Linked DNA regions of Caenorhabditis elegans. Changing the gene in region 1 together with any one later gene gives a genetic interaction. Each region holds a gene or a part of one and is shown in the gene's direction. Other genes may lie near its edges.

The links. Genes that interact genetically often act in the same process or in processes that back each other up.
Region 2: changes in egl-15 (region 1) and emb-8 together harm fitness more than expected from each alone (negative genetic interaction), as found in Caenorhabditis elegans (one large-scale study listed by BioGRID).
Region 3: changes in egl-15 (region 1) and akap-17A together harm fitness more than expected from each alone (negative genetic interaction), as found in Caenorhabditis elegans (one large-scale study listed by BioGRID).

Annotation. Positions count from the first base shown.
Region 1 is NC_003284.9:11,014,403-11,022,415, forward strand, and holds the start of egl-15 (receptor protein-tyrosine kinase), read left to right. Parts: upstream 1-1,997; 5' UTR 1,998-2,038; coding exon 2,039-2,126; intron 2,127-2,179; coding exon 2,180-2,241; intron 2,242-2,288; coding exon 2,289-2,450; intron 2,451-3,033; coding exon 3,034-3,103; intron 3,104-3,177; coding exon 3,178-3,528; intron 3,529-3,542; coding exon of another isoform or gene 3,543-3,737; intron 3,738-3,812; coding exon 3,813-4,048; intron 4,049-4,122; coding exon 4,123-4,362; intron 4,363-4,410; coding exon 4,411-4,572; intron 4,573-4,618; coding exon 4,619-4,726; intron 4,727-4,775; coding exon 4,776-5,212; intron 5,213-5,280; coding exon 5,281-5,359; intron 5,360-5,414; coding exon 5,415-5,708; intron 5,709-5,884; coding exon 5,885-6,081; intron 6,082-6,131; coding exon 6,132-6,215; intron 6,216-6,747; coding exon 6,748-6,852; intron 6,853-6,906; coding exon 6,907-7,069; intron 7,070-7,114; coding exon 7,115-7,228; intron 7,229-7,320; coding exon 7,321-7,447; coding exon of another isoform or gene 7,448-7,491; and 7 more. Other genes in the region: F58A3.3 (RHDF1), read left to right, coding at 1-10. UniProt on the Caenorhabditis elegans protein: Receptor tyrosine kinase required for larval development. May phosphorylate adapter protein soc-1 which in turn may result in the recruitment and/or activation of phosphatase ptp-2.
Region 2 is NC_003281.10:5,196,163-5,201,411, reverse strand, and holds emb-8 (NADPH--cytochrome P450 reductase), read left to right. Parts: upstream 1-1,734; 5' UTR 1,735-1,751; coding exon 1,752-1,873; intron 1,874-1,931; coding exon 1,932-2,025; intron 2,026-2,078; coding exon 2,079-3,077; intron 3,078-3,124; coding exon 3,125-3,373; intron 3,374-3,875; coding exon 3,876-4,172; intron 4,173-4,216; coding exon 4,217-4,444; 3' UTR 4,445-4,732; downstream 4,733-5,249. Other genes in the region: moc-6 (Molybdopterin synthase sulfur carrier subunit), read right to left, coding at 4,749-4,827, 5,081-5,136, 5,180-5,233.
Region 3 is NC_003281.10:7,518,111-7,522,373, reverse strand, and holds akap-17A (RRM domain-containing protein), read left to right. Parts: upstream 1-1,587; 5' UTR 1,588-1,676; coding exon 1,677-1,799; intron 1,800-1,849; coding exon 1,850-2,212; intron 2,213-2,266; coding exon 2,267-2,425; intron 2,426-2,471; coding exon 2,472-2,597; intron 2,598-2,775; coding exon 2,776-2,891; intron 2,892-2,933; coding exon 2,934-3,018; intron 3,019-3,068; coding exon 3,069-3,447; intron 3,448-3,499; coding exon 3,500-3,636; 3' UTR 3,637-3,746; downstream 3,747-4,263. Other genes in the region: lig-4 (DNA ligase IV), read right to left, coding at 1-21, 71-384, 432-731, 784-904; C07H6.2 (E3 ubiquitin-protein ligase PPP1R11), read right to left, coding at 1,042-1,365; Telomere length regulation protein clk-2, read left to right, coding at 3,850-4,005, 4,057-4,263.

The DNA of each region.
Region 1 (8,013 bases):
CCTGAATTAACAGTTGCCACACATATCGTTTAATGATAATTGTAAGCTTTATTGTATCCATTTCATTGTTTTCATTCAATTTTAGATTGCTTTAATAAATAGAAGAGATTTACGGCGTTAAATCATTTGTTACTTGTTTTGTCCTCCTCGTGACATTGAATGAGGTGGTGCCGTTCCACTGCGCGTGATATATGATACGCAGCCAATTCTCGGTAGACCCGCTTACTTCTTCGACCTTTCGCATTTAATTGCATTCTGATATCTATTTTCATATTGACCACATGTTGTTCACCTGCACACTGTCAAAATGACTCATTTACAATAACTTTTCGCGTTCGAGATTTATAAAGGAATGCAACACAAACAGGTGCGCGTAAATAAAGAAAAACCGAAATTGAATTAGCTTTTGCATCTAAATATGTCGCCTACAATTATCCCGTGTTCTATCATTTTTGGCGACTGACTGCCTTATGCGCAATGCCCAATCACTAACCCCTTTTCTTTTTAACGCATCTCTTTTCTCATCATTGTCCATTCTCGTTTATCTCTCCTTCTTTTTCTAATTCCCTTGATTTTCTCTCACTTTCTGATTGCATTTTTCTATATTGATTAGCCTGTAGACACATACCAAATACTCCAAAAAATAAGACCCACAGCAACAAAAAACCGACGCCTATGTTGTCGGTTACCGTCTCATGATTGTAATGCCCCCTTCTCTTTTTCTTATCACTCTTTTCTAATGGAATTCTTGGGGGCAACAAACTGGTTTAATGACAAAATTGAAACAAGAAATCCATTCACCTACCTGTTAAAATTGAGTAAATGATGTGACATTTGAATTAATTAGACTCGCAACTAACCATCTCGTATCCGCGATAAGCATCTCTTGGAATGTTGGTCACACCCTGTTGTGCAACTATTAAGTTTTGAAATTACAATTTTATAATACATAACTTCTACAAAAAAGTGCCTAGAAATCGCACAGATTAAATTACACTTCAATAATCAAAAAGCTGGTTTATAACTAAATGTTCTAATCATTAATCACAACCTAAGTTTTTTATGAACATTTTCTTTTTATTTTTTTAGGAATATTTAGATAGAATGTTTCACTAAAGAAGTATCTCATTATTTTGAAAACTAGCCTTATAATCTCAAATTTGATCTAATTTAAACTATTTTATATGCAATGTATGACGTTGGTTTTGAAAAGTTACCATAGCGTTATTACGCTTACATCAGCTGCTAAAATTTGTTTTTATTATACATAACGAGTTTTTATAAAACCTCAAATTGCTCTAAAAAAATTACATAACTCTATAACATAGCCGTGATCATTGAAAAGATAGACCCACTTTATTCGCTATATCATACTGCAAGACTAGCAATAAAAAGTTACATTGTGTCCGGAAATGTTGAAAGGTTTTTGTTTCCGTAACATATGCACTGCATCCGGAAGAAACACCTCCAGATGTGACTTCTTATTCAAGGTTTTGCTTCGATATCAATCGAAACGGCATTGTGTCATTCCACCTTGTCGGCGAAGACAACGAATCCACAACATCTTAACATCTGGACGTCTTTCGTCGTCTCAATTTGACGCTCGTTCACTTTTTACTCTTTTTATTATCGCCCTCCGCTCGCTGCTCGTTTTTTTTTTCTATGAGCAACATATGCGTAAATTTAGACGGTTCTAATTATGATTTGCTTTAGTTTCTTGATTGTTCCCAGAGATCATTAGACCTTATGACCCAGAGGGTCGGAACTTTTGAAAACGTTGCGCGGGTGTCGCCAATTTGTTACATATGGTGGTGGGGTATGGAGCCAGTAATATATAACCCATGGCTCGCGCAGAGGTACCAGTAAGAACCCAACAAATAAATCTTTGTACCGGTCTGATTCACCTCTCTCACATGTATTCAATTTCAAAAGTTTCACAGCTTCTCCTTCTGAGTGTTTTAATATTTTGATTATTAGTAGATAAATAGTAGATACAAAAGATTGCAGAAATTCGAATGTTTGCCTGATACATATCATCATGAGTTATTTCCTTGCATCCTGCCTCGGTGTGGGCTTACTTTCTACAGTTTCTTGTTCTCTTCAAGGATTGACCAGTCATTACAGAGGTAAGAGAGTTGTCACAAAATCTAATTTATTTTCATATTATTCGATTTTACAGAAAATATTCCCCGTTTCAAGCATGTAGCAAACGAAAGATACGAAGTATTTCTTGGAGATGAGGTTTGGTGGAACAAATATTTAACAGCAATAGATGTACACAGTTTTAGATAAAATTTGACTGTCAAACCGCGGCGTCAAAGATTTCTGCCTTTGTCGAATGGTATCGTAATGACAAGTTACTCAAAAATGATCAAATAGATAAAGACAAAATTCGGAAAGATAATAACAGGATGATGCTTCACTTGAAGAATATTGATGTTTCAGATCAGGTATATGATTTTTTATTATTTTTGTGGTTTTTTTTTTGTTGAACAATGTGGTTAGAACACCAAGTATCGCATTTCTCCTATTAGAATTGCATGCATTTCTATTTTTTTAATTGACAATTTAGAGTGCAAAGACTGATAGGAATTCAAGACTAACATACACTATGAAACTGTATTTCGATGTCTCGTTTCAAATTTGGTTTTTCTTGTTTTTAACCTAAAATACTGGAGTTACCTAAAATACCGTAAAGAAACAATACAACATGATAATTAAAATGATTTAATGTTTGAAAAATGTTTGGAATTATTAAAAAAAAACATTTAACCAATAAAAAATATCTTGTAGATGCTAAAGTTTGTGTGATATCTCTTGCGCGTGTTTAGTTCTGCAAGAATAATATGAAAGAAAATAGGAAAAAAAACTATAACCGACTACCATGAGTTTTAAGCATCATCAAAAATATATATTAATTCAAAAATACCAACAAACTGAGAACTTTTTTCAGCAGTTTTTGACTCTGTCAACTTAAAAAAAAACGTTTATTTAAAAACGTTTAAAAACGTTTAAAAACTAATATTTTTGCAGGGTCTTTGGTCTTGCCGCGTACACAACGCATATGGACAAATATCACGAAATTTTACAGTTGAAGTTATTGGTAAGTATCTCTATTGCTCGATTCTTTGCAGTGCAAGCATAATTTCTTCCATGCATGGTGTGCTTTGTTTTCAGACTTTTGTGATTACTTCCTGTTTCCCGATATTCATCATTTGAACATTCCGATGGAATGTGTTTGTTTATGGAAATACAACAAAGAAGCAAAACGATCTGATGTGAACTATGCAGCGGTAACAGGAGAAGTCTGCTCAAAGTACGCATCTCGCATGATAAATAGAGCACGAAAACCGTTGCCAATGATTCCTTGCTTTGGTGATCACTGCAAAGAATTTGACACTACTCCTGTTTCGGATTTTGGTTTACCTGGGAAACCCGAGGACGATCCTTTAGTAAAGCGTGTTGTTTTGAAAAAAGATGATGTGATTGTGCCCGTGCATGACTCTGAAGAAAGTCCATCCGAATCCAGTAAGTTATTTCAGATCCACTTAAACTGTTCGATTGGCTCACTGAGCATCGAGTATTCGATATTAGTCATTTATTGCCAAAATTGCTACCTCCTGCGGAAATGAGGAGAGTGAAAAGCCAATTGGGCGGATGGGAGAAGATGAATAATGAACAGAAAATTGTTCGAGCCAGGCACATTCTGAGATTAAGACAGATCAATCATGCTTTGGGTAGGCTACATCAGTGGTTGAATTATTTTAAATGCTTCATTTTCTTCTTATATATCTCAGTAAACTTGTTTTTAGGAACCGAATTTATCAATGCTGATGAAAAAGAAAACAAAGAAGACGAAGAAGAAGACTATAGTGTTTCACAACCGGTTGCTCCAGATGCGGGGCTCACTGAGCTGAATATTACTGCGGAAGAGCCACCATATTTCAAGTCAAACGACAACATTGTATTGTTTAATGAAACGCATGCTCTACCAGCAGGACGAACATTGAAACTTAATTGTCGCGCAAAAGGATACCCTGAGCCACAGGTACGATTCATGAAAAACTTGAAATTTTTCACGTAAAGAAACATTGGATTTTCAATCAATGCATTTGATCACAGATTATCTGGTACAAAAACGGCAAAATGTTGAAGAAAAGTAGTGCTCGGTCCGGCGGATACGAATTCAAGTTCAATAGATGGTCTTTAGAAGTGGAAGATGCTGTCGTAGCAGATTCTGGGGAGTTTCATTGTGAAGCATTGAACAAAGTTGGAAGTGCAAAAAAGTATTTCCATGTGATCATAGTCAACAGAATGAGAAGACCGCCCATTATCGTTCCGAATATTTTGGCTAATCAATCAGTAAGATTTTGCCTCACGGCATCTATAGTTTCAATGTTTTATATTTAGGTAAATATTAATGACACTGCCACATTCCACTGCAAAGTTGTCTCTGACTTATTGCCTCATATTATTTGGGTACGCATCAACAAAATCAATGGGTCGTATAGCTACTACAACAATTCAGCTGAAGAGTATATGTTCAATTACACAGAGATGGACACTTTTGATGTATGTTATGAAACATGTTCTCATCTATCAAAAAGTGTCGTTTCAGAAAGCGCACGTCCATCACGTTGGTGATGAATCGACGCTTACTATTTTCAATGTGTCGCTGGATGATCAGGGAATATATGCTTGTCTCAGTGGAAACTCACTGGGGATGGTAAGAAATTGATTGAACCTTCTAGTTGAACAAATTAAGAGTTTTACAGTCGATGGCGAATGCCACTTTAACGGTGAATGAGTTTATGGCCATACATTTGCTCACTGGTGACGAACCGAAGATAGATAGATGGACAACATCCGATTATATATTTACAACAATTCTGCTTTTCTTACTGCTTGCTGCAACATTATTTGGAATTTTGTTTATGGTGTGCAAACAAACACTACACAAAAAAGGATTCATGGATGATACTGTTGGATTAGTGGCAAGAAAAAAAAGAGTCGTAGTTAGCAAAAGGCCAATGAATGAAGATAATGAGAATTCGGATGATGAGCCATCACCTTATCAAATTCAAATAATAGAGACTCCAATTACAAAGAAAGAAGCAGCGAGAAAACAAAGAAAACGTATGAATTCAGAAAACACTGTTCTTTCGGAATACGAGGTTGATTCGGATCCAGTTTGGGAAGTTGAAAGATCAAAGTGGGTCAAATCTTTAATACATTCAGCCAGACAAGAATTCAATTTAAACATTAAATTTCAACGTTTAGATTGAGTTTGGTTCACATGCTTGGCGAGGGAGCATTTGGAGAAGTTTGGAAAGCAACATACAAAGAAACAGAAAACAATGTAATTTTGGGAAAACAAAAAAACAAGAAAATCTGAAATTTTAATTGCGTTTCAGGAAATCGCAGTTGCTGTCAAAAAATTGAAAATGTCAGCTCACGAAAAAGAGCTCATTGACTTGGTCAGTGAAATGGAAACATTCAAAGTTATAGGAGAACATGAGAACGTGTTGCGATTGATTGGATGCTGTACAGGCGCTGGTCCGCTTTATGTCGTTGTTGAGCTGTGCAAGCATGGGAATTTGCGCGATTTCTTGAGAGCACATAGACCTAAGGAAGAGAAGGCAAAAAAGTCCAGCCAAGAATTGACGGATTATTTGGAACCACGAAAAGCATCTGATAAGGATGACATTGTGAGTGGCTTATGTTTTGAATAAAATATGATTTTTTCCACTGACAAAATTTGAAATACTCATCAAACTTTGAAAATCTTGTAGAAAAGCGTTTTCCTGATTGCTCATTATCAGTAAACCTGTCTTAGTCAGTTTTAAATTTACCAGAGTAATTTTGCTGAAATTTTCATTTTTAGGAGCTCATACCAAATTTGACACAACGCCATCTTGTACAATTTGCTTGGCAAGTGGCTCAAGGAATGAACTTCTTGGCATCAAAGAAGATCATACATCGTGATTTGGCAGCAAGAAATGTTCTCGTCGGTGATGGACACGTTCTGAAAATATCGGATTTTGGACTATCGAGAGATGTGCACTGTAACGATTATTATAGGTTGTAACATTATTCCTAATGATATATTACTGATGATATATTACTTCCAGAAAACGTGGAAACGGCAGACTTCCCATTAAATGGATGGCTTTAGAAGCGTTGGACTCAAATGTATACACCGTGGAAAGTGATGTGTGAGTAATGGTTTTCTGTGGTAGAAAAGTTTCGTGGAGGTCCTTTCCAGGTTCACGTTTGAAAAAAATTGATTTTTCAATATAATCACATATGTCTTATTTGTCTTTTCACACAAGTTAATCATCCTGAGTCAACCTGAGCATCTGAATCGGGATAGCTGTATATTTATTTTACTTATTTTGGGTTTTTAGGATACAACGTTTTAGGATTTTAATTTAGGGAAAAACATTAAACATAAATATATTTGTGATATGTCTGAATTGAAGTTGTTTCCCGCCTGTGGAAAAATAGTTATAAAAAACTATTGAACGACAATTTAATTTAACAAAAAATATATTATTCAAATTTGAATATCAAAAAAAAAAAATACTATTGCTTCCAAAACTATCACTCTGTGAACAATGCATTCACCATTTTTCTTGGCACGCTTTTATTTCAGTTTTCCATTTACATTTTTTGGGGCAATTTTAGGGCACGACAGTGGTTGTGTACCAAAATTAATACTATAATGACTCATTGATACTTTTGTAGATGGTCATATGGAGTTCTCCTTTGGGAAATCATGACACTTGGTGGAACTCCCTATCCAACGATTGCCATGCCTGAACTCTATGCTAACCTCAAAGAAGGATACAGGTGAAAATATTGAGAAAAACATGCAAATCTCACCTGTCTGACATGTTTTTGCAGAATGGAGCCACCACATTTATGTCCCCAAGAAGTCTACCATTTGATGTGCAGCTGCTGGAGAGAAAAATTGGAAGAACGACCATCTTTTAAAACAATCGTAGATTATTTGGATTGGATGTTAACAATGACAAATGAGACTATTGAGGGATCACAAGAATTTAATGTAAGGTCATACATCTGTGACAACATTTTTGAGGATATTTTCCAGGATCAATTTTTCTCCGAAAGATCCACGGCATCAGGTCCAGTTTCTCCTATGGAGTCATTCCAGAAAAAGAGAAAACATCGCCCTCTTTCAGCTCCAGTGAATCTTCCATCAGAGGTAGATCAAAACGTAATTTCGTACATAACGTATTTAAATTTTAAAAGAATTTAACCTATGAATTCGGAATCCATAAAGCACTGTTTTTGCAGCCACAACACACAATTTGCGACGACTATGAGTCCAATTTTTCTGTAGAACCACCCAATGATCCGAATCATCTCTACTGCAATGACAATATGCTGAAAAATCACATTATTACACCGGAAACCTCTCAACGTATTCCATCAAACAACAATAGCATGAGCAAACCCGAATTTTGACCGTTTTTAGTGTACATCCACAAAGTGCTCAACGAACCAATCGGAAACGGGTATGTTCGACAAGATAAATTAGCTCGTGCCGTCAGCGGTGTTGCCAACCAATCTCTCGACTCTGCCCTCGGTTCACCAGCTTGGCCTTCGTACGACCGTCCCTCTAACAAAGCTTCTTGTTTAGGTTCGTTTTCAGTTCGCTACTGACATTTAAGTTCAGGGCAACGATTTCAATGAATTTATAGATGATGAGAAGCATCACTACTATTACTCATAGTAGTCTCTCCGCCGTTATCAGATGTCATTTAAAAGTCCATTGTGGTAATCATGTTTCCGTGTTGTGTGTTTTTGTCCTGTAACATTTTTGTTTGGTGTAATGGGTTGCAGAACATCAAATCACATAAGTTAGCTTACAGATTTGCCTCCGTCAAGTGTCCAGACTAACATGACACTTATAAATGTTGTGCTATGTAACCTTTAAAGTTTCATTTGCAGATCAAACTCACCAGTATTATAATACAACGTCTAAAA
Region 2 (5,249 bases), on another chromosome or scaffold:
AACCAGACAATCTTTGAATTTCAACAGTTATTCACCAGTCATTTATTTCATCGCATGACTTGAATTGACGTTTAATTCAAATTAGGAAATTATTTTTGACTGAAACAATCGTTTGGCGACTAATTATTTCTGAAAGTCTTGTAATAGTGGAAATAACCAATTTTATTTTATTTCTATTACAAAAGTTGACTCTCTTTTGTGACCAAGTAATATTTAATTTTCAGAAATATTGCTCCCGGTCTCGACACAACAAATTTTGTAAAATGTAGAAAGTCGTGCTCCTTGAAAGAGTACTGTATCTTCAAATTTTCATTGTTGCGGAATTTCCCACAATTTTTCGAAGTTTTTCGATAAAAAATAGATATATTTATTTTAAAAACTCAAATTTCAACATAGCGAGATGAAAATTATGAAAATTCAACAACAACTAAAATTTGAAATTACAGTACTCCTTAACGGCGCACGTGTTTTCATATTTAACAAACATTCGTCGTGTCGAGACCTTGGGTACTGTATTTGTGCCGTAAAATTACTTGGGTTATATCAGATATTGTGCCGCAGTTTTTTTTTGTTTCAATTTTTCCTGACTCCTTGTTTTAGTTTTGTTTAAGCATTTTCCTACTGTACTTGCAAAATGTCTGAAATTTTTTAAGATTACATAGTTTTTAGAAGTTTTGTTTTCAGAAGATAATTTTGGCTAAACAGTACTCTAGTCTACGTGTCAATACAAAGTCTGACAAATTTTGTGTTCTCGAAGTATCTTTCTTCGACCACCAAATCATATTTTATGTGTGTCGATCACAAACCTCAAAAAATGATGCAAACTCTCTGACTATCTGCTTCTATAAAATACTCACCTTCTTGGCAAATACAACTTTCTTTTCACTAATAACTTTTCCTCACGGCGTATCTTTGTTTATTTCAATATACCTCCCTCCCTTAATTCGATTTTTCTTCTGTAGCTTTTGTTTTTTCTTCTTTTTCTTTAACTGTAAGACCAAATTAAGGGGACAGACAGAACAATATGTCTAATGTTCCCATTCATTCACACAAATTGACTGTACATTTTTTTTTGAAAAAAGACTCACTGAATTTGCTATACGATAATCGTATCTCAAATTAAGTTTTTAGTTGAAATTGTTTTTGTAAAAAATTATTTATTACAGTTATATGATAGAAATTCAGATATTTCTCAAAATACATATATTTTAGTGCGACAAACTTGTGGTTTTTGCGCCAAAAACACTGGACCCAGTCTCAACACGCCAAATTTTTGATAAATACAAAAAGGTGTGCACCTTCAAAGTGTACTGTAGTTTCGAACTAACGTTTCTGCGCCATTTCAATCAATTTTTCAGAGTTTTCCTCTGTTTTCGTTTGATTCGGGATTTTTCTAAGTACCTGAAATCACCTGAAAACAGAAAAAAAACACATTTTTGTTTAAAAACTATTTATTTATTGAAAAAATAAAGAAATGCATGAAAACAATAAAAATCACATAAAATTAAACTTAAAAAACTATGGAAAATCAATTAAAATTCAACATTAACGAAAGTTTGAAATTACAGTACTTTTTAAAGGCGCACGCGCATTTAACAAAAACTTGTCATTTTCTCGGCGCAAACATCGCAAAATTCAGCGGCAATATTTTAAAACATGTTTAAACTATAACTTCTTATTTATTTACTTTTTCAATATCTCCCTCTTCCTTTTCAAATAATTCTTTAATTTCAGAAACTCTCATTCTAAACATGCTGGCGTGGATTGTGTCGGGTCTCGACACATCAGACCTTGTGGTGCTCACTCTGCTCGCTGGTGGAGCAATTATATTCCTTTTCATGAAGGTTTTCAATCAGCAACCATCGTCTAGCAGGTACTTTAAAAATAAATGCAGAAAATTATTTTTTTTACATTTGAAATTAAAATTTCAGATACTCGCCAACCGTAGCATCGGTCACCACGTCAGCTGCGGCTTCGAAATCGAATCAATCATTCATTGATCGAATGAAAAATGAGAACCGACAGGTAAATTGATATGGAATTTTAAAGAAAATAGAATCAAAATTCTCTAATTTCAGGTGCTTATCATGTACGGATCTCAAACTGGAACAGCTGAAGAAATGTCTGGACGTCTTGCTAAAGATCTTACTCGTTACACCAAGAAGGCTGTTGTCGTTGATCCAGAAGATATTGAATGTGAAGATTTGAATCGTTTGAGTGAAGTTGAGGATGCTCTTTTGGTACTATGCATTGCCACATATGGAGAAGGAGATCCAACTGATAATGCAGTGACACTTGTTGAATATTTGAATGCTGGAGACTGTGATCTGTCGGGTGTTCGATTTGCAGTTTTTGGACTTGGAAATAAGACTTATGAACATTTTAATGAGATTGGAATTCAAATGGACAAACAACTTGAAAAACTTGGAGCCAAGAGAATCTTTCATTTGGGATTAGGAGATGATGATGCTAATCTTGAAGAAGATTTTATGATTTGGAGAGAAGCTTTCTTGCCAAAAGTTGCTGAAGAATTTGGATGGGAGTTGAACACAGAGGCCGAGACAATGAGACAATATCAATTGGAACCAGTTGAAGAAGGAAAAGCTCTTTTCAAGGGAGAATTTGGACGACTTGGAGCTTATGAACGTCCACGTCCACCATTTGATGTCAAAAATCCATATTTGGCTACTGTTGCGATCAATGATGAACTTCATACCGAACATTCTGATCGTAGTTGTAGACATATTGAGTTCTCTGTTGAAGGATCCCGTATTCGTTATGAAGCAGGAGATCATCTGGCTGTCTTCCCAACAAATGATCCAGTTCTTGTTGATCGTCTCATTAATATGCTTCAATTCGATCCTGATCACGCATTCCGTCTTGTGAACGTTGATGAAGATGCATCAAAACGTCATCCATTCCCATGCCCAACCACATTCCGAACTGCTCTTTCTCATTATGTTGATATTTGTGCTCCAGTCAAATCTCATGTGCTCAAAGCAATCAGTGAATATTGTACGGATGATACTGAAAAGGAATTCCTTAATAAGTTATCAACTGCCAATGAGGAGGGCTTGGTGAGTTTTTTTAAATTTTAATTTTGAAGTAATTGAATTTTTTTCAGAAAGAGTACGCCAGATACATTGTCAAAGAGCGTCGTTCAATTGTCGATGTATTGACTGATCAAAAGACATGTAAACCACCAATTGAGTATCTTCTTGAACTTCTTCCACGTCTTCAAGCCCGTTACTACAGTATTGCTTCATCTCCGAGATTAAATGAGGAAAAGATTGCAATTTGTGCAGTTGTCACTAAATATTCTATTGGTGATCGTGATATCAATGGAGTTTGTACAAGATATTTGACCACCAAGGTAAATTTTTTTGCACATGATAGAAAATGAACCGTAATGATCGAATATAACTTTTTCAAATTTTTTCATAATTTTATCAATTTTGCAAATAAGAAAAATAGCTATTTTCGAATTCCCTAGCAAATGAATCACCCTGTTTTGGCATTTTTGCATTTTCTGGCTAATTTCAATTTAAAGCACAGTTTGTAAAATTTTCAGACATTTTTTCGCAAAAAAATCTTAAATGTATACAAGTTTACTTTAAGAAAAATGTCATAACCGGACGATGCATTTGCGCGGGAATTCAAAAATAATTATCTCTTTTTTCAATTTGCAAAATTGAAAAACCATTTCAAAAAAATTTAGAAAAATTTATTACATTTTTAAACAGTTATATTTGGCCATCACGGTTCATTTTTGTATTTTTTAAAACAAAATTTCAAAAAACTCTCACTGTACTCTCACTCAAAAAACTCTCACTATCACACTTTCTTTTTCCAAAAAAAAATCCAAATAATTTCAGGACGCCGGATCGAAATCTCCAGTTTTCGTTCGTAAATCAACAATGCGTCTTCCCCACCGTACCACAACTCAAGTCATTATGATTGGTCCCGGAACAGGATTCGCTCCATTCCGTGGATTCCTCCAAGATCGTCAATTCCACAAAAATGCCGGAAAGGAAATCGGAGCAATGCATTTGTATTATGGATGCCGTCATCCAGATCATGATTACATCTACAAAGATGAGTTGGCAAAGTTCCAAGAAGACGAAGTGCTCACACACTTGGTTTGCGCTTTCTCCAGAGCTCAGGAACATAAGGTAGGATACCGTGTTTCATTGACTTTTAAATAAGATATTTTTAGATCTACGTGCAAGATCGCTTGTGGGAGACTCGTGATCGTATCTGGGATGCTATTAACGTTGGAGCTCACGTCTACATTTGTGGAGACGCCCGCAACATGGCTCGTGACGTTCAGGCAACACTTCAGAAGATTTTCAGAGAAATCGGAGGAAAATCTGAAACGGAAGCTGTCGCCTACTTCAAAGATATGGAGAAGACAAAAAGATACCAAGCTGATGTGTGGTCATAATTTTCAAATTTCATTTTTGTTCAGTTTTTTTAAAATTTTTCAGTAATTTTTCTGTGATTTAGACAAAATATTGCATTTCCCCCTTTTCCCATTTTTCTGTGATAACCTCCCACCCAATCGCCCAGCTCTTTTCAACCCAAAACAGAGAAAAAAAATCATTCGAAATTCGGGTATAAACTTCGCCTCTCTTCCCTATTTTGCACCCTTTGTCGCCCACTAACCCACTTTTCTAGTTTTTTTTTGTCAAATATATCACAAATTTTCATTGAAATAAACAGAGTCTACAAGAATTATCACAATAAGATTATCCACCAGACAATGGAGGAATTACAGCGATTTCTGTGAAGCGAACCAATTCGAAACGATCTCCGGGGTTGGCATATCTGTAAACGACATATTATAAAGACGCAGAGATGTGCGACGGCCAAAAGTTGGGTCTCGTTAGGTATTGGCAACGACACTTCCGAAAGCTTTCTTTAAAAACAACGCGAAACATAACAAAAATGATGAAAAGCTATTGAAAACATTTCAATTAACAGTTTTGCTGCCAATACCTAACGAGACCTAACTTTTGGGGGCGGAGCTTTTCCATTTGGCCGTAGAGCGCGGTTGCACCTCAATTTTCTGAAAACTCACTCCTGATCCACTGCGAGCATCATAACCTTTTCAATTTTTTGAAGAGCTGGGTAATTCTGAAATATTCAATTTTTTAATTTGAAATCTGTAAATTATTACTTCTAAAATTGTTTTCCGAATCTCTTCATAATCGGTCTCTTCGGGAAAATCAATCTAAAAGTTCAAAATT
Region 3 (4,263 bases), on another chromosome or scaffold:
CTGACCTCCAAACTTTTCAATCTGTAACAATAAATTGTACTTGAATTATGAACTGAATTCCAAAACTCACATTTGCATACCAGTCACCTCTTTTCTGCTTCTGAAGTAACATGGGTGTCCATATTTTAAAAAGATGCTCATCGTCATCATCATTTGTTTCTCCTAATTCGTTGGTTCCTTTGTTTTCTACCAATTTTCCTTTTAGAACTGCTTTCAAATCATGTGTCTGATCCCAAATAGCACAAGCAGAAGGCGATATCCAGTCGAGAATCCTGTTACTTGGGGCTCCAAGAGCTGATTCAACGTTCTTAAGAATTACGTTGAAAATCCATTCCAACTCGTCTTCAGAGCATCTCTTAACGAGTTTCGACATCTTATCTCGTTCTGAAAACTTTTTTTTGAATAGGAAAAGGTGTAAGCCAATAACTGACTGTTCCCATCATCCATTGGTCCCGCCGCTAAGAAATCAAGAATTTCGTTCAACTCGGAAACCGTGACTACTGTAGATTCATCATTTTCAGTTCTATATTCTTCAGAAATCTTTTCAGCCAACTGACGAGCTGCTGTTGATGCATCTTTCGAGATAGTTGATACGTAATCAGCCCTGACGTCGTGAAAAGTTTTTGCCATAAAGCTTGCCAACTTAGTCGGTCCCATGTCGAACTTTCTGAACCTCTCGTAATCCGAAACGAAGAACCGTATTATGACAAACATATCAGATGGATCAGAACCTGAATTTAAAAGAATAACGTCACATTGTAATAGTTCGCCCAATTGTCTTACACTTTTCTTTCCATGATTCAAAGTTTTTCTGAAAGGTTGCTTGCTTTGATTTCACATTTGAAGTCCGCCGAATCTTGTTGAAGACGTCAACTACTTCGTCGAAGATCACATCTGACGCCATGAAGATTCTTCAAAAATAATTTTATTGAACATCTATTCGGAATAACGAACGAAAATAAATAAACAAAAGTATGCACAAATTTGGGAAAGAGACGGACAATGAGGGGTAAAATGGGAAAAATCGATTATGAAATATGCTCAATTAGAGCTCTTCGGCTCTTCGTTCTTTTTGTGCTCGACGTGGCCACGACAATGACCGGTTTCACAATCCGAATCAGAATCCGAGCTTGAGTCTTGCCAATTTTTGGGCTTCTTGTAGATACAACAGCATTTGCTCTTCTTCTTGCCCATTCCTTCGTTATCCACTGTTTCGGTGGCCCAAACTACGTGTCGCCGTTCTGAAGTTGATGGCTGAGCTGGATTTGGACTAAGATGAAGCACCAAGTTCTGTTCTCGAGATGGAGGAACGGTGACAGTAGAGGTTTCAGTGCTTGAAGCAGTTTGTTGTTGAGTGTGGCTCATGTTCTGTAATTTAACAATATTTTTTTTTAATTGAACGAAAAATAGTGGAACAAAAAATAAGCCTGACAAATTCTCGTGAAATCAAGTAAACAGCAACAAAAATGTTTCATAATATTTTGTCCGAGTGGACTTCAAAAGACTGCATGGCCTAGAATCCAAATTCATTCCTCGTCCCCATGTGGTGAACTCCTCTCGGACAACTTATTCGAAGAACAATTTTTCATCGAATATTCGATCGAACTTCAATTTATATCGATGTTTCTTCTATTTTAGTGCAAATTTTAATCAAAAAAATTAAACCTTTTGTCAACATGGCGCGAAATTTTCCCACTGCTCTCGATTACCTGGGATCAGAAGCTGAAGATTTTAACAAGGCGCAACACTTGTATCTGAAACCGATGGCTGTTATAAAAATTACCGTAGTGCTGCCTCGGGTACGTTTTTTTAACTATCATAATTACATCGATTTATTATTTAATTGTAGATGACGATCCCGGGACAATCAATATCTAATTGGGATCTCATGGAAAGACTAAAACGTGCAATTGATCCAATTCAAATGGATTCTTGCAAAGTTCGTGAGAGCAATATCGACAGTGTTATTTTTGAAGCGGAACTTCTTTCGCTAGGAATCATGCAGAAAACGATGAAGATTCTCGATGGATTCTCTATGAAAGTGTCTGGATTTGCTGAGCCCTTGAAAGTTAAAACAAAAGAGGCAAAGCTTGATTTTCCAAGTCGTCATGATTGGGATGATTGGTTTATGAAACATAAGATGGACGAGATGAAACCCGGAGAACGTCCTGATACAGTTTATTTGGCAAGAATTCCAGTGAAATGGTTCTGCGTACGTTGCTCCATAACATTGCATTCGAATTTATTTCACCAAACACATTTTTAGGATGGTTACAATGATCTTCCTTCTGAACGACGTCTTCGCGTTGCAATGGAAGCGTTCGGATCTGTTAGAGTTGTCGACATTCCAATTTGTGACCCACTCCGATCTCGAATGAATTCAAAAATCTCTGGTATTCAGCAAAAAGGTTTCGGATTAGGGCAGGTATCGCAGTGTTTTATTTGTAAAATCAAACGAATTGAATTTTTAGGATGTATTTTTTGAAGCATATGTGCAATTTATGGAGTATAAAGGTTTCGCCACTGCCATGGATTCCCTGAGAAATCGTAAATGGGCAAAACGAATTGATGGACGGTTCTTTCAGGCTAATGTCAAGGTATAGTAGGGTAGTAGAGTTAGTTTGCAATTTTGAAAAATCTATCACATTATTTCTAAACGTTCAATATCAATTTTAAAAATTGCATATTCTTCGCTGAAACGAATCACCTCGTGCCACTCTACAGGTTAGTTAATTTCCCAGAATTAAGGTTGAGAAATAGCTTAAAATTTCATAGGTGGATTTCGATCGATCACGTCATCTCAGCGAAGTTCAAATTGCAAAGCGAGCGGAAGAACGACGTCAAATTGAAACGGAACGACTGCGGCAAGAAGAAGAGGAGTTGAATATCAAGTTTGTTGATGCTACAATTTTAAAAATAACTCACCTCTTCAGACGTCAAGAAGAACTGAAAGTTAAACAAGAACTCGATGATAAAGATAGAAGACGAGAAGATAGAGAACGGAAACGCCGCGAAAAGGTTCACTTGAAACGTTTCAAAAAATCATAATAAAACATACGAAATTTCAGAGGGAACTCGAACGAATGGCTGAAGAAGAGAAAAAACGCCTTGAAAAGGAACGACTTGAAGCAGAGCAACGATCACGAGCCACTCGCCGTTTGCAAGGTGTTCGTCTTTTGAAGTTTCTGTTTGAAAAAATTGAAGCACGAGAAGAGAGACGAAAGAGAAAAGAAGAAGAAAAGTTGAAAGATGAGCTGAGCAAAATCAAAGAACTTGAAGAACAACCTGTAGAACAAGAAGACGCATTGAGGCAAGCTCTACTTCAGCAGAGGGAAATTCGAATGCGAGAACGCTTGAAAGAGAAGATGAAAGCTTCAGGAGCAGAGAAGGATAAGAAGAGAGATAAAAATAAGACTTCTAGAAGAAGACGAACTAATAGACATGACAGTGAGTTACCTTAAAATTATTGTCTATTTTTTAATTAAACTTTTTTTTTCAGCTTCATCCTCTTCATCCGAAGATTCTGATTCTCCATCTGATTCTCCCCACTCTCGTCGACAAAGAAAACGTCAAAGTGAAGGAGATGATTTCCGGAGACATCATCATCGGGAGAAAAGTAGAAAACGTGGATCCTAAGAAAACGCGGATCCTATTTTTGTTTCCTATTATTTTACCGGTAATTTCACTTTTTTTAAAACATATTTTTTGATTTTTTTTTCAGAATCTCAATAAACGTATTTACCTCTATTTTTTCTCGTGCATTATTAAACCCTAACCTGGTTTAATTTACTACTCCACGTTCAATTACCTTTCCTGAACGCGAGCTTCGCATTAAAAACAAATTTTCAGATGAATTTACGAAGTCGCCTGGTAAATGCCACGGAACGTGCTGTGCTTTTTCAAATTTTCAAAGATGTGCAGAATGATCCGGAAAAGTACGACAATGCAGTTGAGGCGATCTGTGAATCAATCGACTATTTTGGCAAATTTTTGACCGATAGCGAGGTATTGTCCTGAATTCAATATTTGTGTAATGTTTTATATTTCTAATTGTAGTATCTTACACAAATCAAGCCGATTCTTGATACACAGTGCCCAACAAAGTCGATAATTTGCTTCTCGAAATGTTTGACAAAAGTGAGCACAGATATAAATACTACCACATTTCGAGATGTGATCACCATGCTCGACTGGTTGAAGTATGTCGTTGAAAAATCGCTGACAAGTGCTATTTGTAGCAGTCTGAAAGTTAAAGAAACTGAT